4 linked regions of the Rhinolophus ferrumequinum genome follow. The protein of the gene in region 4 purifies or fractionates together with the protein of the main gene of each other region. This does not show direct contact. Links are inferred from orthologs where the notes say so. Each region holds a gene or a part of one and is shown on either strand. Other genes may lie near its edges. The genes, in order: JUN, RPA1, TOP2A and PARP1.

What was found.
Region 1: the proteins of PARP1 (region 4) and JUN purify together in Homo sapiens (co-immunoprecipitation; 3 studies listed by BioGRID and IntAct, with this or other methods). This does not show direct contact. The link is inferred for Rhinolophus ferrumequinum from reciprocal best matches to the Homo sapiens genes PARP1 and JUN.
Region 2: the proteins of PARP1 (region 4) and RPA1 purify together in Homo sapiens (affinity purification with mass spectrometry; 3 studies listed by BioGRID, with this or other methods). This does not show direct contact. The link is inferred for Rhinolophus ferrumequinum from reciprocal best matches to the Homo sapiens genes PARP1 and RPA1.
Region 3: the proteins of PARP1 (region 4) and TOP2A purify together in Homo sapiens (co-immunoprecipitation; 3 studies listed by BioGRID and IntAct, with this or other methods). This does not show direct contact. The link is inferred for Rhinolophus ferrumequinum from reciprocal best matches to the Homo sapiens genes PARP1 and TOP2A.

The regions. Positions count from the first base shown.
Region 1 is NC_046292.1:42,541,700-42,549,606, forward strand, and holds JUN (transcription factor Jun), read right to left. Parts: upstream 3,016-7,907; 5' UTR 2,090-3,015; coding exon 1,085-2,089; 3' UTR 497-1,084; downstream 1-496. UniProt on the Homo sapiens protein: Transcription factor that recognizes and binds to the AP-1 consensus motif 5'-TGA[GC]TCA-3'.
Region 2 is NC_046304.1:16,154,708-16,161,540, forward strand, and holds the start of RPA1 (replication protein A 70 kDa DNA-binding subunit), read right to left. Parts: upstream 3,005-6,833; 5' UTR 2,902-3,004; coding exon 2,869-2,901; intron 1-2,868. Other genes in the region: SMYD4 (SET and MYND domain-containing protein 4), read left to right, coding at 4,338-4,471. UniProt on the Homo sapiens protein: As part of the heterotrimeric replication protein A complex (RPA/RP-A), binds and stabilizes single-stranded DNA intermediates that form during DNA replication or upon DNA stress.
Region 3 is NC_046304.1:36,816,675-36,823,912, forward strand, and holds the start of TOP2A (DNA topoisomerase 2-alpha), read right to left. Parts: upstream 3,012-7,238; 5' UTR 2,892-3,011; coding exon 2,871-2,891; intron 2,006-2,870; coding exon 1,850-2,005; intron 1,634-1,849; coding exon 1,543-1,633; intron 1,265-1,542; coding exon 1,201-1,264; intron 1-1,200. UniProt on the Homo sapiens protein: Key decatenating enzyme that alters DNA topology by binding to two double-stranded DNA molecules, generating a double-stranded break in one of the strands, passing the intact strand through the broken strand, and religating the broken strand.
Region 4 is NC_046310.1:14,339,835-14,347,077, forward strand, and holds the start of PARP1 (poly [ADP-ribose] polymerase 1), read right to left. Parts: upstream 3,017-7,243; 5' UTR 2,815-3,016; coding exon 2,695-2,814; intron 1-2,694. UniProt on the Homo sapiens protein: Poly-ADP-ribosyltransferase that mediates poly-ADP-ribosylation of proteins and plays a key role in DNA repair.

The sequences.
Region 1 (7,907 bases), on a different chromosome or scaffold from region 4:
AAATGGTCACAGCACATGCCACTTGCTCTAATCCAAACTTTAAAGTGTTGGACTTCCCAGTGGGCAATCCCTCTTCACCACAACCCTCCTTCCCTCAGCCTCCTCAAGGTCCACACTACCCTTTGTAAGCAACTCTATATAGATAATGAGGGAGGGAAGTGTATAACTTGGTGAGAGCATCAGCTCCAGTTATTTCTCATGCCCAGTAGAGAATAGTTTTTACTGCTTGATAGTAAGCAGCCCTGAGAGTGATTTCAATGGACACTCTTAACTCTTTCCACTCCATCCAGATAGGTAATCTATAGATAATGCAGAAAAGAGGTTGGGGGAGGGGTACTTTTTCAATATTTTATTTTCTTAAATATCCTTTCTGGAATTTTCAGAAACAAAACATAAAAAAATTATATACTTTATTACAAATGGTAAACTCAGAGTGCTCCAAATCTCTTATTTACAAATAACACTGGGCAGGACACCCAAACAAACAAACATGAAATAACTTACAAAGGCATGAAGCTGTTTATTGACAATAATCAGCTTTCATCAAATTAAAAAAAAATATATATGTACATACACAGTTAAGGAAGGCAGGCCAGAAAGTTCATCTGTCGGCTCAGCCTCGCTCTCACAAACCTCCCTCCCGCCACCCCTCCCCTAACCCCTCCCCCCTTTGTATTCTTAAGGAGTACTACAGAAGCAATCTACAGTCTCTATTGCAGTTTGTAACCCCTCCCCCTCCCCCCTTGTAATACTGAATGAGATCGAATGTTAGGTCCATGCAGTTCTTGGTCAATGTTAAAGTAAAGTCTAACGTTCTGTTTGCGCTGGGACAGCCCGTCCATAAAGCGGGGCAGCCCGCAGGCGGCCGTTCCCTGGCTACACGCCAAGGGAGGGCGCGCCAAGTCCTTCCCACTCGTGCACACTGGGGGCGCCGTCAGGACGCAACCCAGTCCAACTTGGATACCCTTGGCTTTAGTCCTCCGACACTTCTTTTTTCTCTCTCTCACAACTTGTCAAGTTCTCAAGTCTGTCTCTCTCTCATTTTTTTTTTCTCCGTTGCCCCTCAGCCCCCGACAGTCTCTCCTCAAAACGTTTGCAACTGCTGTGTTAGCATGAGTTGGCACCCACTGTTAACGTGGTTCATGACTTTCTGTTTAAGCTGTGCCACCTGTTCCCTGAGCATATTGGCCGTGGACGCCAGCTCTGAGTTCTGCGCTTTCAAGGTTTTCACTTTTTCCTCCAGCCGGGCGATCCTCTCCAGCTTCCTTTTCCGGCACTTGGAGGCAGCGATGCGGTTCCTCATGCGCTTTCTCTCCGCCTTGATTCGCTCCTGGGACTCCATGTCGATGGGTGACAGGGGAGGCGTTTCCCCGGGCATCTCGGGCACCGTCTGCGGCTCCTCCTTCAGGGCCTGCAGCCGCGGGTGCTGCACGGGGATCTGCTGGGGCAGGTGGTGCGGCGGCTGTGGTGGCTGCTGCTGCTGCTGGGGCTGCGCGGGAAAGGCCAGGCCGGCCGCGCCGTAGGAGGGCGCCCCGCCGCCGCTACTCAGCGCGCCCGGGTTGAAGTTGCTGAGGTTGGCGTAGACCGGCGGCTCGTTATGGAGGCTGGCGCTGAAGCCGCTGCTGCCGCTGCCGCCCGCCACGGACGCCACCGCGGGAGCCACCATGCCCGCCCCGCTGACAGGCTGCGCCGCGGACGTGACGCTGGGCAGTGTGTTCTGGCTGTGCAGTTCGGCCAGGGCGCGCACGAAGCCCTCCGCGAAGCCCTCCTGCTCGTCCGTCACGTTCTTGGGGCACAGGAACTGGGTGGGGGTCGGCGTGGTGGTGATGTGCCCATTGCTGGACTGGATTATCAGGCGCTCCAGCTCCGGCGACGCCAGTTTGAGCAGCCCCACGTCCGGCGAGGTGAGGAGGTCCGAGTTCTTGGCCCGGAGGTGCGGCTTCAGGCTGCCCACCGGGTCGGCCAGGTTCAGGGTCATGCTCTGTTTGAGGATCTTGGGGTTACTGTAACCGTAGGCGCCGCTCTCGGACTGGAGGAACGAGGCGTTGAGGGCATCGTCATAGAAGGTCGTTTCCATCTTTGCAGTCATAGAACAGTCCGTCACTTCACGTGGGGTTAGTTTGGGCTGCGCGCAGAAGTTTCGGGGCCGCAACAGCTCGCTGGCAAGCGGGGGACACCCGCGCCTGCCCGGCCTTCAGCAAGGAAAGTTTATCTAATAGCGCGCGCACCCGCTAGCTGTCCTCCCCCTTGCGCCCTCCTCACCAGCGCGCTCCAGGGAACGCAGGGTTAAGACGCCGCCCGCACTCTTACTTGTCGGCTCTCGCGCGCTGCCGGCTTTAAAAAGTCGCGGTCACTCACTGAGCGCTCCTCTGCGCAGCGGCTCCTCGGAGCCCGCGGACTCACTCGCTTCCCGGCGACAGCCGCTCTCCTGGCGGCGGCACTCAGCGCGGACCCCGCAGTGGCCGGTCAGCGGCGGGTCTCCGCCGCCCGGACTCCTACGACTGTCCCCTCCTCCGCTGCGAGGGGGAGGGGGCGCCCGGCGGCCGAGGCTCGCGCTCGCCCAAGTTCAGCAACCGGTGCGAGCGCACGTCCCTCCTCGCTCTCCTCTCTCCGTCGCTTTTTCTTTACCGCCGCCGCGGCAGCTTGGAGCGGAGGAAAGCTTTGCAAAAGTTCGGTCCGGGACTCAGGGGCTACTTGTCCCTTGTCCTCGGGGCCAGGAAAGTTCTTTGCCGCTACAGCGGCTCGCCAGACTTCTCCAGGGGACAGTCGCCGCCCTCCGCGCTGTCAGCGGCGCCCGGGCAGTGGGGTTCTCCTCTTGGGTCGGCTGGAGAGGGGGCTCTTCGGACGCTCTCCCAAAACACCAGCCCGGGAACCACAGGCGCTAGCTCTGGGCACTTGGTGAGAAAATGGAAAAGAAAATCAGATTTGCAGTTCGGACTCTACTGCTGTCCTGTCTCCCTGAGTCCGCGCGCCTCCACTCCCGCCTCGCTGATACAGCCACACTCAGTGCAACTCTGAGCCCTTATCCAGCCCGAGCTCAACACTTATCTGCTACCAGTCAACCCCTAAAAATAGCCCATGATGTCACCCCAAGGCCTTCCCATTGGCTTGCGTCGCTCTCAAGGGGGCGGGCCCGCCCGTCGCCATGGAGACCCCACCCTAGAAGATTCTTCTCCGGACCCGCGGAGGCTCACGGGATGAGGTAATGCTCTGTTGCCCTCCTACAGTTGGGCCCTTCTTTCTCCTCCTCCCCCGCCCCCTCCCGCGCGCCTCGCGCCCCTCTCTTCTCCCTCCCCGGCGCGTCTTTCCCGGCCCGCCCGGTGCATTGTGGGCTGACGTCTTGGGGCTTGACTGTCTAGTGACGGTGGCCACTGCGAGCCCGGCCGACGCGGGCGCTCGCATCTTCTGATGGAAGCGGGCACAAGTTCGGGTCTCGGGGCGGAATGCAGAAGACGCGGGGACTCGGAGGGCTGGGGAACCTGGCCGGGTGTCTGGGGCCGAGGGTGCGAGACGGGTGGTATTTCCCCACTTCGTGGGTGCTGGATAGCATCCACCGGCGTTTCGCCGCCTCGCGGGGCCGGGAGGTCTACAGCTCGGGTTTTTCCCTCCCCCGCACTTCCGGGGGGCGGGAGCACCGCCCTTAAGGTGGCTCTGTTAAGTCCCCCGTGGGGGCAAGTGAAAGTGGGCTTAAGTTTAGGGGCAGTCTCCGAGAGTCAGCCCCCCCACGTTGAGTACGCTCGGAAGTTTGTCTCCTGGTCAAGTTCACCAGCGACCGTCCGCCGGGCTGTCTGGCTGCGCCTAGAAGCCGAGTGATTTGCATTGCTCGAGACTGGTGATCAGCTAATTCCTCAGGGCACCCCCACTTCACCCTCCCGACGATGGGAGAAAGGGTGCGAGGTCATAGCTTCGTCTCGGAGGGGAGGGTTTTTGTATTTTTTTTTTAATAAGGGGTGCAATTAGGGGGCAACTCAGTCCAGTTGAGAACAAGCGTTTAGGGAATCCGAAACTCGGGGAACCCCGGCGATCGTCTACTCTCTGCCCCCGTACAAGAACTCGCACACCACACATCACACGAATACACACACACGCACAGACATTCACACTCCTCCCGCCGTGATTTGCTTCCGGGGAAACAAGTCCGAGAGGACACTCGCCAAAAGTCACGCAGCGAGGAGTCGGATAGAAGCAGGATTTAAAATCTCACGGCTCTGGCCCGGGAGCTGGGCCTATATCCTGTGTAGCCTCTAGGAAGCGCTAGACACATGTAAGTGGTTCCTTTTTTTTTTTTTTTTTTTTTTTTTTTTTGGTGGCTCTTGTTATCTCCCCCCACCCCCATCCCCCTTAGGGACAAAAGTGTGTGGTGGAAAGAACACCGAAGTCGGGAATCGTGGGTTCTGTCGTGGCCAACGCTGCCATGGTGTGAAGTGAGCAAGTCACCGAACTTCTATGAGCTTTTCAGTTCCTTTATCTGCGGCGGGGGTGCGGGAGGCTGGGGGGCGGGGCGGTGAAAACCACCTCACTGGGCAGAGTTAGGGTAGTATCATCACCTTCAGGGCTAGGAAGTAGTCACCAAACAGCCTCCTTCCCCGAGTTTCCCAGAGCCTCCCTGGAATGCCAGGATGTAAGAGTGTGACTTGACAGGAACAGGTGTAAAAACTCCTGTGAGGAGCATCGAAGGAAGGGGAGTGAGGGAGGAAAGGGTCGAAGGCAGCCCTTTCCTGGGCCTTTTGCCCGTGACTGAGGCTTGAAGTTGGACCTGCAGCAGTTTAGGTCCCTAGGTTCTAATTCGGGCTTCTCAACTTCAGAACTTCGGGGAATTCAGCTTACGCGTTTAGAGCCCAGAGTCTGATGGTCTTTTTGGCTTTGAGGGTTAAAATTCAACAGCCCAACAGTAGCTAGTGGCAGGGAAATCTTGACAACTTTTCTTTACTCCAGGCACTCACCTCTCATTCAGTCATGCAGCAGAGGAAAACTGAGTGGCTACTGTGAGGCAGGCACTGAGCTGGGGTGGGGGGTAGGGGTGGGGTTAGAATACAGTGATGACAAGATCCAGTTACTTTCCTCAGGGAGGGAGTATTCTCTATACTGTTACCCTAAATCATTTTCGTCTGTAATCAAGGAGCTGGTGTTCTTAATTTTTATGAGAGTAATAAAAATAAATTTCATGTATTAAATGCCTATTATCAGCCAGGCATTTGCCAGAGCAATTTAAATATGCTGTTTCTCCCCACAACTATCTAGAGCTATGTTTATTATTAACCAGATTTAACATATGAGGGACTAGGCCCAGAGAGGTTAAGTATCTTGCTCAGGTCACACAGGCAGCTGGAAATTGACCTCAGGTCTGTGTTACATTCCCTCGTATCTTCTCTGCTCTGGGAGATTTTCTTGTAACATATTGTCTGCAGCGGAAATGGCACTTCGATGGTGGGACAGAAGAAATTGCCTTGCCTGCGCCGCTGTAACTCCTTTCAGAGCTTCCTTTCAGAGCTCCTGTATTTAGAAAATTCAAGATTAGGACTTTGTATAAATATATATATCTTTGCCTAAGGGTTCTGTGTGTTCCTCTCTGCCTTATGTGGTTTAGTAGGCTGATTTTCTCCTTATGTTGAGAAGTAGCATATTTCATCCAAAAAATAACAGATCTGTTTAAAAGTTAACGCCCCTGCTTGGAAGCCTTCACTGCCGTCCCCTTACAACCAGGAGAGAGTTTAGACACCTTTGCCTGGGAGAAGGAGCTTTTCACAGTCTAGCTCCTGCTCTCAGGCCTCACCTCTCTCTCCCTGTACCAGTTAGGAAAGGCTGGGCTATGCTGCCCTCACACACGACCCTAATGTCTCAGTGTCTTATCCCACGGAAGTTTATTTCTTGCTGATGCTACATGCCCACTGTGGGTCTATGGGGGAGTTCTGTTCACGGTGGTCACTCAAGGACTCCAGTTGAAGAGGGCTTCATCTCGACACCTGCGTATTACTATTACCTTGGCTGCGGGGAGAGACGGCGGGAAATCATTGACTGGCTCTCAGAGCATCCACCTGGAAGTGACACACAGTACTTCTGTATCATTAGCCAAAGCAAGTCCCGTGGCCATGCCTAACTTGAAATCTCTGTAATCCTACCAAGTATCTTGAACCAAGAGAGCTAGGAAGATTTGGGGAACCACACTAATGACTCGAGCAGTCTCCCTTTCGGTTCCCCAACTGTTTGGCTTAGTGTCCTCTCACAGGCAGAGTTCCCTCATCCTTTCCTCAAGGGAGACAACGCTAAAGACCCATCTAGTCACAGTCTATCAAGCTTCCTTTCCAGGTTCTGAGTGATGCGTAGTAGACATTATATCAGCTCCAGATAGGACTTATCAACTAAAAGCAAGGTGTCTACCCTGCACACCTTCAATATGTAATGGTGGGACTGAGGCAGGATACACTGCCGTGCATACATCACGTGGAAGTGGAGGGATGGGAGACCACAGTAGACACTAATCCACTGAGGACCCCCTACCCATCACCCCAGTTAGGCCCTGATTCTGCTCCCCGAGTGTAGCTGCCCCGTCCATTCTTTCCCATGACCCCTGGCTTTGCCCTCTGAGAGAGTCTTCCTCTTCTATATCTAAAGCAGGCATTGGGAAATATATTTCTAAATAAGCTTTCAAAAATTGGCGGGGGGAGGGTACAGAGTCATGTTAAGTCTCAAATACAGTCTCCTTTAATCCAGGCTGATGTTCTTTTGGCAGTACAACTCTCACATAAATGTAGGCTTCTTATCTGTTTGATTCTAGCCATTCCATGTACCAATAGCCAGAGCCAATTCTTTTCTAGACATAGTCCTGTGGTTTGCCACATTTCTTAGCTTTCTCGTTCTCCTGCCTGCTAATACCTCTCTCTCTCTCTCTCTTTCTCTCTCTCTGTCTCTCTCAATCTCTCAATCTCTCATATTCATTCCCCTGCTCCCCAGCTTGGTTTTGAGTACTTTGGGTTTATTGAGCTTTGGTGTGAGAGTCACACTTTTCCTTTCTTTTCTAGAGCCATTTTGTTTAATTGAAAACATAGCTCGGTAACACCTTTATTTGTCAAGAGGTTTGAACAATAAATAAGCTTGAGGCCATACCTTGACTTGATCCATACTTCAAGGCTAATTTTAACTTGCCTTTTCTTGCTGAAAACATTTTTTAGTTATATATTTTACTAGTTGAGACTGAGAAACAACTTAGCCTCTTCTAACCCTACAAATCTCTGAATTTCTAGATTGTCCCTACTCTCTTTCATTCTTGTTGGCAAACCGGCCAAGTCTTCTCTGAGCTCATCTCTTTTTTTTTTTATAATAAGTTTCCAAATGCATCCAACAGCCACCAACACGTTCTACTAACATTTTGTTTTAGTCTCTCACTTTAAGTTGATTAGGTTCATGACACGCCTTCTAAATTGTCACAGGTGATATATTCACCAAATAGATCACTGTCCTTTTAGCTTCTGATAACAGTGCTCTTAGTTACTGCCCTCTAAATGGATGTTTACTTTTACTGTTGCCATTACATTACCCCACATCTAGGTGCCAATTCTTACATCAGTCAGGATAGACTAGGTTTGCCACCATTAACAAACAATCCTAAAATCTTAGTGGCTTAACAAAAATCTTTATTTCTTGTTTGTAGTACATGTTCAAAGTCAAAGGGGCTTTGCTTCATGTACTCACTCAGAAACTGAGTCTGCAGAAGGTTTCATCTTGATATATGCTTCCACAGTCATTCCCAACACTTCAATGGGGAAGAAAGCACAGTGCAGTCACACTGATTTTAAAAGCTTCCTCTCTGAAATGAGTCTTATTACTGGTGTTTACATATTATTGGTCATAAACTAGTCACGTGACCATGTCTTTCTTACAGAATGCCAGAAAGTGCAATCCTACTATGT
Region 2 (6,833 bases), on a different chromosome or scaffold from region 4:
TCTGGCACATTGGAAATGGTCGAAAACATTACTTCCTTTGCCTTTCTTTATATTACCCAGTTACTTACAATATAAAAGCTGTTCGTTCTATTTATCACAATAGTCCCATGCATTCTCTCTTACTTTGTGTTAGCTCTTGCCCACAATGCCTCTGCTATTTGTGTGTTAGTTGTTTGCCCATTAGGGCCTGTGTCTTTTAAACTAAAATGATATTATTTGCTTTAGCTAATAATCAAAGTTGACAAAGGTCCTCTACAATCTGTCACCACAAACATAGGCAAAACTTTTCTTTGTCATTTATGAATAAAACCGAAGTAATACTTTATCTGACACTAGAAATATGTTTCTAAAATCTTGAATATAGCAAAAACCTCATAATCATTCATTTTTTTTAAAGTGAAGAGCTGTTCCTAATTTTTTTCCTACTCCCATAATTTGTCTGAAAAGCAGCTATAAAGTAAATGATGACAATTTGCAATTACTTCCCAGGTCTAATTATTCCTAATTTATTAAAATATCCATTCATTCCGCCAACTGTTCTTCCCCTTCCTGTTTCCCCCAAGCTCCCTTTCTTCCCCATTCATCTCTGTCCCTTTCTTTTCACCGCCTCATATGCAACTAGCAAACGTTTATTGGGCACCTAAAACTTGCCAGCACTGCCCCAGGTATTCAAGGTACCATGCTGAGCAAAAAAAAAAAAAAAAAACAAACAGACATCATTTCAGACCTAAAAAAAATGTAGTCCAGTGGTGGAGACAGAAAGTACCTGATATTAATCAAATCAACAACAAATAAATGTAAGCTTACATCTGTGATTATCAATAGGTAATTAACATGCTGAGCAGTCGCTATGTATCTGGCATGGGCTAAGCACTTTAAATGTAAGAACTCCCTTAATCCTCCCACTATCCAATAGGTATTAGATATTATTACCCTATTTTACAGAAGAGGAAAGGCCAAGTTTAACATCTTGCCCAAAGTCACAGAGTTGATAAGTGAACTCAGAGAAATTTGGGTCTCAAAATAACTGGATTTCACCTAGCATGGGAAGTTAACAACTGAACTGAGATGTGAAGACTGTTAGCCTATGAGAGTGAAAAACCACCTGGGCAGTAGGCAGAGGGAAAAGAATGATCAAAACCCTGTGGAAGGCAAGGGTATAGAATAAACCAGGAATTTAAAGAGAAAAAGGACTGGAAAGGAAGAGAGAACAAGTTGAGAATATGCTATAATGGAAATAGCAGGAGGAGGGTATGCTGAGTGGCAGTGAGTGATCCAGGCAAAAAATGATGGTGCCAGCGAGGATGGAGGGAAGTAGATGGAGTTAAGAGATACATGTGCAAGTAAACATGTATCCTGAACATTCAGGGTGACACAGGAAGAATGAGTCCTCAATTGCTCAATTTCTGGCTAGCATAACTTAATGGATAATAGTGCAATTCACCCAGATAGAGAATACCAAGCGGCCCAGATTCAGAAAGATAGTTCTGATTTGGGACATGTTGAAATTTAAATGACTTTGAGGTATCAGGTAGGATAAATTAGAGTTTTGTCTTTCAGAGTAAAAGGTGACTCCGGACAAAGAAACTTGTGAGCAAGTAACATAGAGATGGTAATGAGGTTGTCTTGGAAGAGAGCCTTGAGTCAACAAACATTTACAAAGAGAAACCTGTAAATAGGATGTGAAAACCAGCCAAGCTGCGCCACAGAAGCGCAAAGAAGAGATTGTCACCAGAAGGAAGCAATGCTCAAGACTCAAATGCTGCTGAGCACTCTGATAAATTGAAAATTGAAGCATCTGTTGGATTTAGCCACTTGGAGGCACTGTGAATTTCAGCCCTAGTTATTTCTACAGTGATCATGGGGGTGACTGATTAAAGTGGGTTAATGGGTTGATGGAGGGCGGTTGTGCAACTCCAGTGGCTCTCAGAAGTCGTCCTTTCAGCTGTGCCCGGACATTCCAAGTCCTGCTGCCACTGTGGACAAGGCTCAGGTTCATTTCTCCAGAATCAACTAAGAAATGCTCTTTTCTGTGCCCCTGCTTAGTTCTTTCTAATTGTTTTTAAAATGGCAGATATGGTTTTGGTTTCATTGGAGCGATTTCTCATTGCCTCAGAGAGCGTGGCAAACCCGTATGTCCTCTATGTACTGCAGTCAGCCACACCCCACAACTCTGCAGCACCTATAAGAAAGTTCTGAAACAACCAGAATTCTAAACAGCCATGATTTAGCTAAAAGAGCAATATCCCTTTGCATTTTAGCAGTTTTGCAAGAAGTGTGGCTCTTTAGAATACCCCATCTAGTGTTTATGTTTGGTGAGCGTTGGCTTTCATGAATTCAACATGTATTGAGTGTCTACTCTGTGCCAAGCACTGGGGATACAGAAAGCAAGACAGGTCTCTGACCTCAATGCGCTGACAGCCTAGTGCAGGAGACAGACAAGCAGACCAGGGCACGGGGTCAGATGGACTACCTGGGCTTGAAGGCTCAAACACTTTCTCTGTGAAATCGGAAATGAAATAGCTGAAAACAGACAATTCTGGAGAAATTTGGCTGTGGGTGGGGGGGGAGGGAAGGAGACAGAGAATAGTCTCAGGAGATGGGGGGAGTCAACAGTTTATTTTGTTTCGTGTTCTTAAGCAGGAAAACGTAAGCATGTTTAAAAGACGATGGGAAAAATCCTTTCAAGAAAGGGTGATGATTCTAGGGAGTCCACCCGGCGGTTCCCCCCCACCCATTCCCGCTATCTCCTCCTTTCCTTTTCTCTTCCCTCTCGCCTCCAGCTCTTCTTCCCCTTCTCCAATCCGCACAGCCCCAGAGCCCACAACCACTCCGGCCCTCCGGCCCAGCTCGCAGGCATCTCCTCACCGCAATGGCCCCTTCGCTCAGGTGGCCCACCATGGCTCCGCCGCAACAACTCCCGCGCTTCGGCTGCGCTGCTGCCCAGGCTTCACCCGCGGAGTACGGCGCGCTCTAAGGCAATTGGCCCGAGGAGCTGAGTACGCCACTTCCGCCTCTTGTCGTTTACACGGCACAGGGGCGGGTCTAGGGGCTGAGCAGCCACCGCATTGGCCGAGGCGCGGCGGACGACCACGTGACCCTCCCAAGCCTAACTTCAGGCCTAGTCGCCGGATGGCGGGATCTGAGGGCACAGAGCCAGGCTACGGGACGCGCCAAGGTTGACGCGAGCGCCGCTAAATGAAGCGAGTGGAACAGTTCCGGGATCTTGGCGAGCGGGCTCTCGGAAACATACCCGGCTCGACTGGTAGCCCAGAGGAGAGTTAGAGCTGCTCCCTGATAACCCTGCTGCTAAATGTAGTCAAAGCAGTGACTTGATCCTGAGCTTAGCACACTTTCTGAAGGTAAATAAAACCTGGTTCCTGCCCTCAGAAAAGAACATAGGCTGTCGCGGGAGCTTCCGCTGTAAGTAGCCCTAACTCAAGGTAGACATGGTATGGGCCCCAGGAGAGAGACAAAGTATGCTGGAATCACACTGATGTAAAATCAGAAAAGGCTTCCCGGAGGAGGTGTCATTTGAACTGAGTCTTGACGGATGTGTGGAAATTTGCTTGGTGGACTCCAAGTGAGGGCAGGGATGAACCTGGAAAAATGAATAGCCTATGCAAAAACTGGAGTGATGAATAGCCTGGCAAGCTGGGGATGGCATTGAATAGCTCAGGATAGTAGTTACCTACAGAGGAGGTGAGACTTGAACATTAGTAAGCCAAGGGTCAAATAATGAAGGGTTTCTATGGGGCTTTCCTAAATGCTAGGAGGAGCATTGATGAAGTTAAGGCAGAGTACTGACATCTGTCTGAATGCAGAAGGATTAAATTGGGGTGGGGGGGGACTGAGGGTATGGAGATTAGTTACGACAGGCTGGAAAGAATGCCAGACAAGACATGGTGAAGGCTTGAATTAAAAGAATGACCTGGGGATTGAAAAAAAAACTGAACTCTGTAAGAGATATAAATATTTGTTAATAGTTGCTGGGGAGAGTGAGAAAGAAGAATCTGGGAGGTCTCTTAAGGTTTCTGACTTGAGCAACTAGGGTAGATGGAGTTCTAAGAGAACAAGGATGGTGGCTGTCAATTCACCTAGCGTGGTGCCTGGAACAAAGTAGGTTTTCAATAAATAATCTCTGAATGAAAGAATGTTGAGTGAATTGGAGAAAATATAGATCCTTCTTCAGCATGTAAACAACTATAGAAAAAGAGCACAAGAATTGATTATGTTGCTTCATGCTTGCTGGAATGAAATCTGGATTTTCAAAAATTGTGCATTTGTAGAAATCTAAATTCCTTACTTTCTTATTCATTTTGTAGACTTAAAGTAGCATGGATCTGCCCGTAGATGAGTGGAAATCATACCTATTTCAGAAGTGGGCTTTGCTCCCAAAGTCCATTCAGGTCACAATTTCTACAGCAGAGACTTTGAGCGATGTCTTTCTTCACACCTCTTCGCTTCTTCAGTAAGTTAATGAAAGCTTTAACCAGGGAAATTTTAATCTGGAAAATGTTCCCTTTTGTCATTTGCTCTCAAGTTATATCTCATTTTGATGGAAAGATTTTAAGTTTATTTTGTTTTTTGCATAAAGCATTTTGTCATTTTAATTTTTTTGTGTGGTCAAGTAACCCTATTTTATTTATTTTATTTATTTTTATTTATTTTTCATGAGTTTCAGATGTACAAAACAACATGATTAGACATTTATACCCCTCACAAAGTGATAACCCCAACAAGTCTACTACCCCTCTGACATCATACATAGCCATTGCAATACCATTGACTGTATTCCCTATGCTGTACTTTACATTCTGTGACTATATATATATACATTTAATTATAGTTGACATTCAGTATTACTCTACATCAGCTTCAGGTGTACAGTGCAGTGATCAGGCATCTACACAATCTATGAAGTGATCCCCCTGATAATTCCAGTACCCATCTGACACCCTACATAATCTTTACATTACTGATTATATTCTCCGTACTGTAGTTCACATCCCCGTGACTACTTTGTGACTACCGGTTTGTACTTTCTAATCCCTTCACCTTCTCCCTCCTACCCCCTCCCATCTAGTAGCAACCATCAGTTTTTTTTCTCTGTATCTCTGAGTCTACTTCTGTTTTGTTTGCTCGTGTATTCTGTTCTTTAGATTCCACATATGATTGAGATCATATGATATTTGTCTTTCTCAGTCTGACTTATTTCATTTAGACTAATATCCTCTTGGTCCATCCATGTTGTTGAAAATGGAAAGATTTTGTTCTTTTTTATGGTCGAGTAGTACTCCATTGTATAAATGTACCACAATTTCTCTATCTAGTCATCTACTGATGGTCATTTGGGTTGTTTCCATATCTTGGCTATTGTGAATAGCACTGCAGTAAACATAGGGGTGCACATATATTTTTTGAATTAGTGTTTTGAATTTCTTTGGATAAATACCCAGGAGTGGAACTGTGGGGTCATAAAGTAGTTCTATTTTTAATTTTTTGAGGAACCTCCATACTGTTTTCCATAATGGCTGCACCAATTTGCAATCGCACTAACAGTGCACAGAGTTCCATTATTCTCCACATCCTCGCCAGCACTTGTTGTTTGTTAATTTATTGATGATAGCTTTTCAGATAGGAGTGAGGTGGTATCTCATTGTGGTTTTTATTTGCATTTCTCTGATGATTAGTTATGTTGAACATCTTTTCATGTGTCTATTGGCCATCTGTATGTCCTCTATGAAGAAATGTTTCTTCATGTCCTTTGCCCATTTTTCAATTGGATTGTTTGGTTTTTTGGTGTTGAATTGTATGAGTTTTTTAAATAAATTTTGGATATTAACCCCTTATCAGGTGTATCATTGGCAAATATCTTCCCCCATTCAATAGGATGTCTTTTTGTTTTGTTAATGGTTTCCTTTGCTGGGAAAAAACTTTTTAGTTTGATGTAGTCCCATTTGTTTATTTTTTCTTTGGTTTCTTTGCCCGAGGAGATATATCAGTAAAATATTACTAAAGGTAATGTCTGACTTCCTATACTTTCTTCTAACAGTTTTATGGTTTGGGGTCTTACATTTAAGTGTTTAATCCATTTTGAGTTTATTCTTGTATATGGCAGAAGAAGGTGGTCCAGTTTATTTTTTTTGCATATATCTGTCCAGTTATCCCAGCACCATTTATTAAATAGACTGTCTTTACCCCAATGTAAATTCTTGCTTTCTTTGTCATAGAGTAAATGACCATATAGGCATGGATTTATTTCTGGGCTCTCTCTTCTGTTCTATTGATCTATGTGTCTGTTTTTATGCCAATACCATGCTGTTTTGATTTCTATAGCCTTGTAGTATACTTTGATATAGGTATCATGATACTTCCCGCTTTGTTCTTATTTCTCAGGATTGCCATGGCTATTCGGGGTCTTTTATAGTTTCATATAAATTTTAGGTTTATTTGTTCTAGTTCTGTGAAAAATTTCATTCGTATTTTGATAGGGATTGTGTTGAATCTATATATTGTTTTGAGTAATATGGACATTTTAACTATATTAATTGTTCCTATCCATGAGCATGGTATATATTTCCATTTATTTGTATCTTCTTTAATGTCTCTCTTTAATGTCTTATAATTTTCTGAGTATAGGTCTTTTACTTCCTTGGTTAAATTTATTCCTAAATATTTTTTTGATGCAATTGTAAATGGGATTGTTTTCTTAATTTCTCTTATAATTCGTTATTGGTGTATAAAAATGCAACCGATTTCTGAATATTAATTTTGTATCCTACTTTACTAAATTTGTTTATCAGTTCTAATAGTTTTTTTGGTGGAATCTT
Region 3 (7,238 bases), on a different chromosome or scaffold from region 4:
CTAGTTCATCCATGTTGTTGCAGAAGGGAGAGCAAGGAATTGAAAACCTGTTTGAAAAAATGATGGAAAACTTCCCTAACCTGGTGAAGGAAAGACTTACGAGCCTAGAAAGCACAGCGTCCCAAACAAGATGAACCCAGAGGCCAACACTAAGACACATCATATTAAGATGCCAAAGGTTAAAGACAAAGAGAATTTTCAAACCAGCAAGGGAAAAGCAGTTAGTTACCTACAAGGGGGCTCCCATAGACGAAGTTGATTTCTCAACAGAAACTTTGCAGGCCAGTAGGGATTGGCATGAAATATTCAAAGTGATGAAAAGCAAGGGCCTACAACCAAGATTTCTCTACCCAGCAAAGTCTCAATTTCTTTATGATTCTTTTTCATATATACCCTCTGAAATTCAGCATGAACTACCTTTCCCACCATGCTTAGTTCCTGACACTCCTAAAATAGGAGCCAAGAGGAAAAAAAAAAATGAAACCTTTTCCAACACCTGGGCAGACACTGATAATGTTGAAAAAAACATGAAATTTTAAAATGTTAAAATAAACAAAGGGAAATGATTTATGCTCAATGGAAAGAAAAGAACATAATTTGGAAACAGTATTACACTGCTTTTGAGAGGATCTTCTGTACTGTCCTAGCTCTCTTAGCCTTTTCCACCCAACAAAGCTCATTGCAAAACAAATGTGAAAGGGAAAAACATCATTTGTAAACTTCTTTGCTTGCCAATAAAATACTAAAAATTTATTTGGACTTTGATTAGGCTAATAAAAAGGTGAAACAAGCATCCTGACCACCCACAAAGGGATCATTTATAACCAGAAATGTTAGATCTCTATCACCACCTTCTGGTTTACTATTTGAATAGCATCATATGAAAAAAAGCTCTAGATTGCAGAATACTTTGAGCAATTGTTGGAGATGCTTACTGAACTATTTAGGGATGAAGTGCCATAATGTCTGTAATTTATTTTCAAATGCTTCAGAAAAAATATAGCTGAAGCAAATATGGCAAAGTGTTGATAACTGCTGGATCTAGGTGGTAGGTATCATAGATTGTTCATTTTAGCATTCTGCCTTTCTGTGTTTTTGCAAACTTTCATTTTAAGAAAGCCAACTTCACTATAAATCTAAGTAAATGCAACTAACAGAACAATGAACTATAACAAACAAAAGACTAAGCAAGAGACTTACGGGTCAATTGTGACTCTAATACAAGACATTTTTGGATCCCTTTGTTTATTGTCTGCAGCATTGACTGAAAGAAAATACACATTTGTAAGAAATTGAAGTATTTATAAAAAAAATCTTTAACTCTTAGAAAGCAAAAATCTCAAACGCAGTAGCATTAATGAGGTGTTAATTCAGCAATTTTTATTCACAGTACTGTTTCTAGTTAAGAATTCAACTTCACTGTCTCACCTTTGCCAACTATTGTTTGAAATGACAGCTCTGGCTACATAGGGTTTGCTAGGAATTATATACTTCTTATGAAGGATTTGACCAGAAGATCTTTATGTGAAAGAATTTACTTACCTAGAATTTCATCAAAGATTTTGTACAAACCAGGAACAAAAGTGACTTCCCTGAAATTCATGCCAATATCTTCATCATAAACCCACATTTGCTAGAAATAAGGCAAAGAGATGCAGTTATTTTTACCCTATATTTATTCTGTTTTATCATCATGATTACTGGAATAAGTTTTCTGGAATATATATATTCATATAAAATAGACTAGGCCAGTGCCAGTGACACTCAAAGTACATGAAGTATAGAAAATTAACCTGGAAAAACACACATTTTAACTACTTAGTAACTGCATTTAATTAGCTTGTTTTACCTGGGTCACTAATTCCACAGAGCCAATATAGGTGTCCGGACGGAGCAGAATATGTTCCAATTGCGTTTTCTTTTGATAGATTCTTTCAATAGATAGTCTTTTCTTAGCATCTTCATTTTTCTTTGTTTTGTTCATTTGCATATTTTCGTTTACAGGCTAGCAATTTAAAAACATTTGAAGCAAAGGGAACTTTAATCATAGGTTTATCAGAAACTATAAACAAAACGTCTACCTTTATGATATGCTTAAACACTATAACAAATCGCCATCTTTAATGAGTATTGGTGGAGTTTACATCGTTTTGTACAAACGTGGCAATTTAAGTTAACTGCAGCCAGGTACCCAGGTTACATTTTAAATGGACATACATCTCATCTCACTAAATGTATCTGGTATGGAAATATTTTCCTTAAGGGCTTTAGATGTCATCAATAAAATACACCCACTTATTCATCTACTCCATCTACTATGTGCCTACTGTGTCCCAGGCACATAGTAGATTCTAGTTCAGCAGCAGCAGTTTGGGAGGCTATCGATTCAATCCCTTGGCCACGTTAACGTTGTGAACACAGAAGGACGTATTTTGAGCAACTAGGGCCTGCCGGCTCATTGGGAACACTGTGCCTTGCTCTGCACCTTCCAAGGTCAAGGACATTCAATTCCATATTCAGCAGGAGGATAGCAGAGGAAAGCATCAGGAGGCGTTGTTTAGTCACAAGTGGACCATTATAGTACAGATCTACGATAGGACCAGTTGCTTCCTGTCCCTAGAAACAGTAAAACAAAACACAACACCCTAGAAGCCAATTTAGTCCATAACACTTCAATATTACCACCATAAAGAGTTTCACCCTCGTCACGATCACGCCGAACCCAGGAGACCCGGGTCCACACGGAATACAGGCTCCCAGGCCGCCGCGGCCGGACGACCGCGAAGCCCAGGAGCTTCACTCCCTCACTAGCAACCAGAGATATCGGGCCGCGCTAAGGCTCCACGACTCGCCCATTTCGCGAGTTGTACCTGCAGTGGTGACACCTCCATGGTGACGGTCGTGAAAAGGCTCGAGAACCCTGCAAGAGACTAAACCGGCGGGACCCACGAGATTATCACAGGACAAGCCGCTTCTCCACAGACGCTGGTCGGTTGGGAGAGCAACTCCAGTCCAATTTGAACTTCCCTCTAGCCCGCCGAAACGAGGTAAACCAATCCCTGATTCGCTCTCACCGGTTCCGTCCTGAAGAACCAATCGTAGCTGGTCTTTTATGTTCTCCAAGGAACGCCTGTTCGAATGAACCAATTAGGCAAGGGAGACGGGACTAGAGGGTTTTCAAACGACACCACTTTGGGTCGTAGCGGAGGGATCGACAGGGAATCTGGCCAATGAGGAGGGCTCGTTTGTCTTCGCAGTGCAGAAAACTCGGTGGACCGCGCGGTGGAGGTAGGAGGGGGATTTCTGAGGTGCAGACTGGCATAAAAAGAGGAAAGAAAAGGTTTCATTCCCCAGGAACTGCTAATTTATTTCAGATCCCTGAAAGCTAAAAACGATCCTGTGTCCCAAGGTTTTTTAGCGAGAAGAACGAGAGTCCTAGCTCCATTTTCCTGAAGAAACAGTGCTGGCTGGCTTTGTGTACAGGAAGCCTGGCGGCGATTTGATTAAGCGAACACAGGTTCTGACGTCTGCCTCAATCTCCTCTCCCCTCCCCTCCAAGAATTTATTTTCAAAGAAACGAAAGTGCTACAGTTGTGGGTTTTCGTTTTCATATAATAGAAAAATGTAGAGAGGCCGCGCGAAATAGCCTTCGAGTCCCCCAGGAGAGGGGCTTTAGGCTGCCACTGGGGTAATTTATAGTTACCGCCTCAGGAGCTGAGGATGGCTTAGGGGCCCATTCTAGTACTGAGTTTTTTTGGGGTTCAGACTGCCAGTAGGATACCCTCGTGACTTTTGCTCCCTGTTAAGTTCCCTGAATTCTGCAGTCCAAAACAGCTGTTCAGGTTTGATGAGGAAATGCCAGATTGAAGTTTTTCTTGAGTGGCTTTCTTTTTTCCTCATCAATTCACAATGTTAAAATGACCAAAACAATGTTGTTGCCCTTACAAGATGCTAGAAAAATTAAGGAGTGCACAATTTGCATGGCTACTGATTCCATCTGACCCAGCTCCTTCCCTGAGTTTCAGTCCTGGCTGGACAATTTGACAGTTGTGTCATCTTGAGGGAGGCAGCTTCTCAGTCGCTTTCATTTCTTCTGCTGAAAAAGGGAAATAAAAATAATAGTATTACCTCAGCGTTGTGTGAAGATTACGCGAGATACATGTTTAGGATAGTAGGCTAACAGTATCTGAATCAGGAAGCAGGAATTTTCCTTAGGCTGGCATGACAATTTGTGGATTTAATTTTTTTTCTTCTAAAAGAACCAGAGGGCCAACCAATTGTTAAATCACCCAGGCATATTTGATGCCCAGCCTGTTGGCAGAGCTCTCCAGGGAGGGCCAATGCGGAGGGGGTGTGGTAGGACGTGAAGTCCGGGATGGAAGTAGCCCACTGGGCTAGAGTGATTGGGAAAGCCGAAGGAAGGCTGCTTCGGCATGGCGCTGGTCCCTTCCTCTGGTCTCCTGGCCTCCCGTAGTTCCCAAGTGTTCTCAGCTTCACTCTGCTCACTATATGTGTTGATCAGAAAGGCAACGTCCATGCACAGGACCACCAGGGTCTCAGAGCAGTTGTGGGGAAGCCCATCCTGTAGCTTCTGCCCACCCAGAGGTTGAACAGGTCTTCTCATGTCACTGCCTACAGCTTCCCCAGGACAGAGGAGGACCCTGACAGAGACCAGCCATGCTGCCTTCTACCTCCTGGAACACAGAGCTCCAAAGTGGTAGGGGTGGGTGGCCATGCTTCCCCTAGGATAGCAGTCCAGCCTCTGTCCCTCTTGCCTCCACCCTGTTGCTCATCCTAGCCTGCAGTACCCAGGAATTTAATAAGCAGCTCTAGCCCTATTTTCTGGGACCCACCTTTAAATCTGCCCTGCAGTTTAGCCTGATCCTGTTCCAAAAACCTGGAAGCAGAACTGTGGAGTCTAAAGGACTTTGGAGTCACACATGCATGAGTCAGAAATCGCTCTGAGCCTCAGTTTCCCCATATCATTATCCTTTATCAAAAGTACAAAGGGCTAAATGACATATGGAAGCACCTCGGACAATCCTTCTCCAGCCCTCTAGCACAGAAATTTCTTCTCTTGATCATGAAAGAACCCCCACTTCTCTTCTGGACATAAGCTATTTCTGTCAGCCTGCCTCCTTCCTAGAGCCTCTCACAGGGGCCCTGCAAGACTTGTGGGGGTCCACTGAAAAGTCCAGGACAGGTGGGCCTGGGATGTATTGTCCATAAAGAGGGAATTCCAGGTGTCTGCAATTGTGCAAAGATACATGTACAAGATTATTTATTGCAATATTGTTTTTATTAGAAAAGAACTGGCAGCTATCTAATGGAAGTTGATCTAGGTGTACTGATATGGAAATATCACTAAGACATATTAAGTTTTTAAAAAGTGAAGGAAAGAATTAGAACATAATCCCATTTAGGTAAATGTTTATGTGTGCGTTGAAAACATCTGGAAGGAATCGTAAATAACTGGAGGGGGAGGAACACTTTTCATATTTTCCTTTCTATCCTATTTGATCATTTAAAAATTGTAGACATGTCTTATTTTTATAATGTAAAAAGTTAGCTTAAACAAAATTTAAAAGATTTTCTTCTGTAATTGTGGGCCCTGATAATTCTCGGTGTTCATGACCCTTTGCCAACATGTGACTTTCTAAGTGTTTGTTTTCATATACTCCCTATACCCTTTTCACCCCCGACCCTTTTCCTCACCTCACTGAAGGCCTATCTGTCTATACAAGTTTGTGTGAGAATGTGAATTTTGTAGATAGAGATAGAGTCTCAACATACTGGGGGAACTCGCAGTTTAAGTAAACCCAGTGGTGAGGACTCAGTAGGAAATCTCAACCTTTGCGCCAAATTGAGGGACAGAGTATTGTGGTGGGAAGTCCTCGCCCAGTTCTGCTGTCACTAGTCTCATGACCTTGGGTAAATCTCCTCCTGTCTCTAGGTCTCAGTTTCCCCACCTGTACACTGAAGTCTAGGTAGCCCAGCTAGAGGAGTGGGTTGCAAAACGCCTTCCACAGAGTCTAGAGAGGGGGTGGGATGGGCCCAGATTCTCCAACCCAGAGCAGCTCCACTTTCATCTTTTTACGTGTAAGAATTCTGTTCTGTGTAAAAATGGCAATCCATTACTTATATTTAGAAAAACCCCTGTGAATTGAGTTGGTTGAAATCAGGGTATGCCGTTATCTTGGCTTCCCCTTCCCTGCCAGTGCCCAGCCCAGAGCTGCATAGGAACGAGCTCAAGCCCACTGGGGCTGGGGCATGGTGTCAGGGAGGTGAAGCATGGTCTCTGATTCTTTCCACTCCCTATGTGACACCCCTACCCCTTGCCTCCTGGCCTAGTAGCATGGCTGATGTAACCTTAAATCTCTGCCAGGGTCCCAAGACCTCCTGGTTACCTATCTCTAGCACCTGTGGCTACTAATGGCAGCAGGTGGAACTGGCATTTGGACTTGGCATCTTTGCCTCCTGGAGGCTTGGTCAGCAAAACCTGGACAAACACAGCCATGAACCCCTCCCTTCTCCCTCACCCCCAGATTCTCCAGCTCCTCACATCCTTCCTCTATAACCCACAGAGTGGAAGTGGTCAAGGGAGTGGGATAGGGAGGACTTCCTCTCTGACAACAGAGGCCAGGGCTGGGCCTCTGCTCTCTTGGCTTCTCACACGAGAAGGGGAGGCAGAGCTGGACTGGATTGTGTGTCTTGATGGGCAGGCTACCTGAATACTCATTCCTGGTACGTTTTACGGCACTCTGGAACAGAGAAGGTCATCACTGAAGAACTCTGGGTTAGAATTCTCCACGTAGGAAGAGGAATAAAAAAGGACATCTCGGGGGTGTCTTCTGTCTGATACTAATCTGATAGTTGTCCCCCCTGCTGGTACTTCCAGGGCCCCCTCACAGTTGATGTCAGAGACCAGGAAGATTGGTAAGTGGTGGAGTGGAGTTAGGAGCAAGTTATTCACCAAAAGGAAATAAAAAGCTATGCCCTTCTGTTTGTAATTAAAGACAAAGATGGTATTCCTGAAAGGCCTGCAGCTAAGTGCTGCCTACATGTTTCTCTTTCCTCCCTGTTGATCATGAAAGAAAAGAAGCTACATGAGCAGAAAAGTGGGAATTTACAGAGAACAGAGAAGACTGTCATTTGGAGCAGGTAGTTCGTCCTGTTCTCACGAGATGAGCTAGAACCTGCTAGAGGAGAAAGCCTGCCTGGGCTTTTGAAATCAAGTT
Region 4 (7,243 bases):
GCTCAACCTGCCCCTTCAACCTCGGTCTGGATGCTGTTTCCAACTACCCATGCAGTGCTAGGCACATGAGAGGGGCCATCCAAGAGCATACTCACAGCACAAGCTTGCGGGGGAGGGGCGGGCTGTAAGGGCCCCCGTCTCCCTCAAAGAGGGCAGAACCCTTGGCCAAAGCAAGGCTTGACCCGAGAACTCAGAACTGCAAATGGTATGGCAGGAAGGGAACTAGACCAAGATCACAAGAGGATGGTTTCCACTTGGCAGCTGCGTGGCAGGAGCCAGCGGCAGAATCGTTGTGTACTCCACACACTGAGCAGCTACCCCTCCCCGGGGCCGCAGCCAGCCACTCTTCACTGCCCATCCATCCCAGGGAGAGCACAGAATGACCCTCAGTTACCACACCATGTGTGGCCTCAAAAGTGACCATGCAGTGTGTTTCAAACCCCCCCAGACAGAATACAATGGACCCCACACCCTTTTCCCTGTTCCTCCCCTCAAGGCTGCCCCAGGGCACACCAGCTAAAGTTTCAGGTATTCGATACTATGTGGAGAACAATCCTCCCATACAAATGTAAAACAAGGTTTTTAAATCCAAGTGGTAGAAGAAAAGCTTCTTTCTTTTTGGCCCCCACCAGCTCAGTCTACAAGACCAACTTTACCGCCAGAATTAAAACTCCACTTCCTAATTACAATTACAGAAAACCAAACTTACTTGTCACAATAATTTCCTTCACTGTCAAGTATGCTGAAAGAGGCCCCAGTTAAACTTCATTAGGTTCAGAAGTTGATTCCTCAATGGAGCCACCCCAGACTCCCCCAGACAGAGTTCTCCCTCCTCTGTGTCCCTGCCTCATCACACTGGCTACTTAGGTTTCTGTCCGTCCTCCACAAAACAGGGTCTTCTGTGGCTGCCGGGGGAAGACTATGGATGTCCCTTTCTCAGAAAAACATTTAAAAACACGTGACAAAAGACAGAGGCTCACAAAGAAAACCAATTATATTGAAATAATTTCCAAAACAGTTTCTTAAAAGTTTATAGTGAAACAGTAACTCATGAGCTTGAAAGCATTAAGTAACAAGATCTAATACTCACTCTCATAGCTACTGTAATTTTGAAGCAGTGATGAGCATAAATGGTAAATGATATGTAGAGAAATCCCCCAACCAATGTAAAGTGATATGAAAATATCTGTAATTACCATTGGTGACAAAAATCACAAGTACTACTAAGATGCCTTTGTGGCTTACACTCATAATGGGAGGTAATGACTTTTATCTAGAGGTTAGTGACGATTGAGATGTAAATTTGTTCTCTAAACTCACTAGACCTTCTATTCACATCCCGGGCCCCAGCGAGGCTCAAAGATGCTTCGTGGGAGATGTGGCAATTCAGTTGGCAGGCCTTGTCTGCTATTCCAACCTTGATTTCCTGCCACTTCTGGGAATAGACTCCTAACCAAGCTCCCAAGATGGGCAAACAATGCCTAGGGCACAGCTCCATCAGGTGACATCCACCCCTGGAGAGCAATGTTTACCAGTCATCTTCCCTTTAACCAAACAGGAAGCTCCCTGGGATGGAGTGCCCCTAGTACCCGACATGGAGCCTGGAACCTCCTAGTGTTTATTGAATGAGTAAGTACTATGTGCCAGGTGCCGAAGATAACAAGATGACAGCCCCAATTCCTGCCACATCACGAAATGAGATAACCTTGGCACCCACTCCCCTCCACCCCTTCAATTTTTAAGTACTATTGAAAATCCGGTGAAGGCGCTCCCCTCATTCCTAAAACACATTTCTGCCTCACCATGGGGGGAAAAGTCAAGTTACCTTGACCGTGAACACTAAGGTGGGACAACAGACAGCTTTATGTTGGAGATGGGGAGACAGGGCAGGTGAGAACCAAGACCACCCAAGCAAACAGGAGCCAACTGGAAGCTGGAGGAGTCAGGCACCCCCTTGGCAAGGGCCTACAAACACACCGTCTCATAGAGGACTCCCAGCACCCACGGGCATCTCCCAAGCCTTAGGAAACCCCGGACGGGGATCCCCAATCTGTCAATAAGTCCCGAAGAGGAACCCCCCCCCAACACCAAGCCACTTACTCAAACCCCATAAGCTGCAAATGCATCAAGAGATGCAACTATGAAGCGAGGAAGTTGGGGGAAATGTTATTTTAAACCACAAATCGGGCAGAAAGTGAATGCACTGTACAGATTATGACACAGAATTGCATAGTTTTGCATAACTTTTAAAAATGAGGGTGAGCGACTGTTGAAATGATAGCCCAAAATAGGCGTTTTTTTTAAAAAAAAAAATCCTCCCATGTCAGTGGCCGCCATCAATGCAGAGCAAAAATCTTCCAGAACAAGCTAGGTCAAAATCAGAAGAGCCTCAAAAGGCCACGCACACATTTTTTTCCGCCAGAGACTAACGGTAATAGAAGCGGTTCCTTATTTTTACAAAACAAAAGGCACCACCAGTTCCAGACTGTATTTCCCGGGCTTTTCCTGCAAGATCAGCGAAATCTTCCGGAGGGTCCGCCCCGTGGGCCACACGCTGGACGAGCAGCAGCAGCGCCTACAGGCCTCGCCAAGGGTCCGAGGGACCGGCCCGGCCCGCTGCTCCGGGCAAGCCCTCCCCCACTCCTCCCGGAGACGGAAGCCCCGCCGCGCACAAAGCGGCCCTCCCGCCCGCACCTGCACCATGATGGCCATACGGAGCGAGTCCTTGGGGATGCTCTCGCTGCATTTCTTGCAGGAGGCGCGCCCGCTCTTCGCATACTCGACCCGGTAGAGCTTGTCCGAGGACTCCGCCATCGTACTCCTCGTGCTGCTGCAGCTCCGGGAGCCCGACGCCGCCCCCTGGAGACCCGCTGCCACCGCCTCTCCACCCCGCGCGTGCGTGCGTGCGTGCGTGCGTCCGTCCGTCAGTCTGCTCTCTGCAGGAGCCCGAGCACCCAGAGCCGTCGCCGAACACGCCGCGCCGACCACCCGCCGCTCGCGGATAGATTGCTGATGCCTGGTGGCGGGAACGCCCCCGGCGCACGCGTTTAAGGGGCGGGGCCGCCCGCACGCGCGCCCTCTGCCGACCGCGGCGGGCGGTTCTTGCCCCGCGCCTGCGGCTGCGCGAGCTCAGCTGGCTGCTGCTGCCGGCAGAGCCTGGGCTGGTACCGCCTGTGCACCTATGGGAAGGACCGGACGCCACCTCATTAACCATTTTGTCCCCTGGGAGGCTTACATACTCTCCCAACTAATTCTACCTTCATTCCCTTTCAATGAGCGCGTCACTTTACAGTTGTTGGAAACAACTCAATAATTGTGAAACTCATCACTACTTGAAATTGCAATAGTCAGAAGATCGGTTGCTACTAGATTTTTATTTAGATTTTGTTATTTTTTTGTTATAGAACTATATTATATAACTGCGTCCTTTTTTAATCCTATACATTTTGTTCTATTCATTTAAAACATAATGGGGTGTGCTGTAGAGGACAAGAAAAAACAGGATGAATGAAACTCGTAAGACATGTTAAGCATAGAGAAGAAGAAAGTTAGTAGCTTAAGAGACATGATACTGACGTAGGCAATTATGTTGTGAGACATAGGCAAGAACCCTAAATACGGTAAGTGACCTGTTAGATATGTTGAAGGTAAATACAATAAGGGGAATACAGGATGGAACAAATAAAAGAATTTTGCTTAGAGGATAATCTGATCATTTGACTTCTGGGCCTCTCCTTGGTGGTAATATTATGGTCTGATTCTGGCTCCCATATGCTCCGCCCCAAAACAGCAGATAAAACCCGTGTGTGTTCTGCAAGCTGATTGGTGAGCTACATCTGTGGCCAGGCATACTTCTCCTTGTGTCTCTCTGACAGGTGACTGTGAGTTGGCTTCAGTACTCTGTTGAGTAGCCTCGAGCATCCTCAGCTCTGGTCTTTGTAACCCTACCATCAGTGGGGCTGGCTGATGCAGCAGAGAGAAAACTTATGAACATTGCATAACTTGGTGTTTCCATGGTGTGGTCCTTCCACCTTGCCTCTGTCCTGTCCTATGTGTGTTTTCTGCCCCACGTTATTCCCCTCGCCGCAGGAGGTTTAAATCAGGTGTTTCGAACTGATGTAATAATCCGTGTAATTCAGGCATCTTAATCTGGTCTGGGAGGCTTTCTGTTTTGTGACTTCTGACACAGTTTGCCTGATACTGTATCTGGAAGCTACCATTGCATTAGAGGACCATAGACTTCATTGGACAGACAAGGGGGTCCTGAGCACACACACCAAGGTTAAGGATTCCTGCCCTAGACCCCTAAGGAGAGCGAGCGATACCCAACTGCCTTCTCAATATTTTTATTTGGATGTCTTATATTCTTCCCCAATGATGTCCAAAACCTCCTCCACTGTTTCTCGTCTCAGGGAATGGTTCATGGTTCTCTGCATTGCTTAGGTCAAACTCCTGGAATCAACTTGACTCCTTTTCTCTTCTGTCCAACATCCAATTCATCTCTGAATCCTGACTTCCATAGTGTCTTACCACCTTCCCGTCAGCACGGCTGTCAATGCCACCATCATCTTTTGTGGTTCTGAGACAGTATCCTGTGGCCTCCTTCCATGCCAGCCCTCCTAGTCTTCCCTCTCCATGTGAGGTTGCTTTAGATCTCAACCTGCGTTACCATTTTGAAAACCCTCCAAAGGCTTCTCATCACACTTACAATAAAATCCAAAGTTCTCCCTGTGGCTGAATGGGAGCTCTGGCCACTTCTTTGACTTCACGGTCATCCTCTCCCCAAGGCTCCCGCTGTTCCAGCAACACTGGCTTCTTGCCTGTCCCTCAAACACCCCAAACCCAGTCCCACCTCAGAGCCTTTGTATTTACTTTTCTGGAACAGTCTTCACCTAGCAAGCACATGGCTCACTTCCTCTCTTCATTTAGTTTCTGCTCACATAGTATTAGTGTGACCACCCCAGCTAATATGCTTAGTGTGTGCACGCCACCTCTACTTGCTCTGTTTTATATTATTCTTTATACTTATTACTCCTCATAGCATATTTTATACATACGTATATGTTTATTGTCAGACTCCCTCTAGCAGAACTGGGGTTTTTGTCTGTTTTGCTCATTGTAATATCCTCAGAGCCTAGAATATGAGTAGTGCTAAGCCCTCAAAAATACTTCTTTGAATGAATGAATAAATCCCACAGTTGGCACTTCCTCTACACAGCTCAACTCTTTAATAATAATGTTACTTCACACTTAAATAGATTTTCATATTTAACAAAGGGCTTTCATAAATATTTGTTTGCTCCTCATTACAACGCTACTTTTTTTTAAAAAAAAATGATTATAATTACTTAGAAGCATTCAGACTGTCCACATCACAGCTATAATCCTGTCCCCGCCCCAATTACAGAGTGGCATTCAATTAAAAGAACAACAATTATTTCATAGAAGCTGCATGAGAGACAACTGAAGATGAAAAAAATACCATGCCCATATAGAACTAATTTGTACTATGCACCAACAAAAACCTGCTTTGAATTCTCACGCCAGTTTACAATCCACATAGTGTACCGGGCGAGGTTGACAGCTGTTGAGAATACCACCAGGACAGGGTTGTCTAAAGAATTACTTGGTAACAATACTCCTCCCACCCCCCCCAAAAAAAGTTTAAACACAAATCACATACAGCTTTACATTTCACTTTTTTCTTTAAAAGGAATGATTTTGCCTAAGGAGGTTGAATGCTTGACAGATAAGAAAGAAAAAATCAAATATATTATTTAAATTAATTTTATGTTTCTTTTTACTTTTTAAATGTAGCTAATAAAAATTCAAAGTGACGTATGTATCTTGCATTGTATTTCTTTTGGGCAGAGCTGTTTTAGATAAGACAAAAGCATACAGAACAAAAGATGAAAGTTCTACTTCATCATCTACCTCCACTTCCGTCCCTAAGTTGTCATTTATTTTTTATTTTTTCCCAATGTGAGTTTAAGGCTATATACTTTATCCTGAGTTAAGCTTTGGCCATAGTCTTCAGATTTTGTATGTATATTATACTTTGTTTGTTTTTATATTTCACTGGTTATTTCAAGTCCTTCTGTGAATTTCCTGTTCTACCCTTTTGCCCATTTAAAAATATTCCCCACCATATTTACTCTAAGCTTTGTAGGTTTTTGTTTTTTTTAATGTTGTAAACATATCTTACTTTACTTCTCTCTTTGCTCTTAACTTCCAAATGTTCTTTACCATACATTATGTTGCCTGGTTTATCACCAGAGTGAGACTAGAGGAAAAAAATGCGCGTGCGTGATGGAGACTGTGGTGGGCGGTTGAAGTCAGGGGTCTGTGCAGATGAGAGGCAGAGAAGGCTCAGTTTCCATGACTGCCTCCACCACAAATTGCCTTGCCCTCCTTTTCTTGTTTTTCTTTTAAAAAAACACACAATTAAACAGCAGCCCGTTCTTTTCTGATTACATAATACCTGCAGCCTGTGACCACAAAACCAAACCACATTACTTCGAGTATGAGGACGAATGTAAGATGCTGCAGTCTTATTCTGTTAACATGTGACAACTCCAGGAAGCAGGCGGCCCGCGGGCAGGGCTGCGTCCCTGAGGCCTGAAGCAGTGCCTGCCTTAAGTGTGGCTACATGGATGACTAAAGGGCTCCCCCCTCACCTGGAAGACTGTCTCCTAAGCCTTGTGCAAAAGGAAGATGTGCGGTTGGCGCTGAAGGAGCGAGCACCTTGAGTACGAAGCCATCATGGGACCCAGGGTGGAAGACGGAATGACAAGGAGATTCTACTTGTTTAGTTCAAAATGGAGGCCACAGTTGTGCTGGAACCGTACCCCTCTCCCAGCAGTCTGAGGCTTGGCGTCTTTGGGGCAATCGTGGCCATTATGAGTCCAAGGCTAGTGTTCTGGAAAGAGGCACTCTCTGATTGTGAGAGGAAAGTGTGGACAGGGATAGAAGAGGCAGTGAGCAAGCCCATGATGATTCACACTCAGGAAGCCAGGTATACCCAAGACAGGCTTGTCACCTGGATTATACCACAGATAGGGCACGAGGGGCAAGGCCCTACTCCACAACTGAGGACTACACCCTCGTGACATGACCAGAGAGGGCTTCTCTCAAAGCTGCACAGAGCCTAGTCCAAACTTACGGACTCTCGTCAGCCATACGCCGAATCCTGTTTTATAATAACCTGCTCACACAGCTGGCTTTCCCATCTAACCTGGAAATC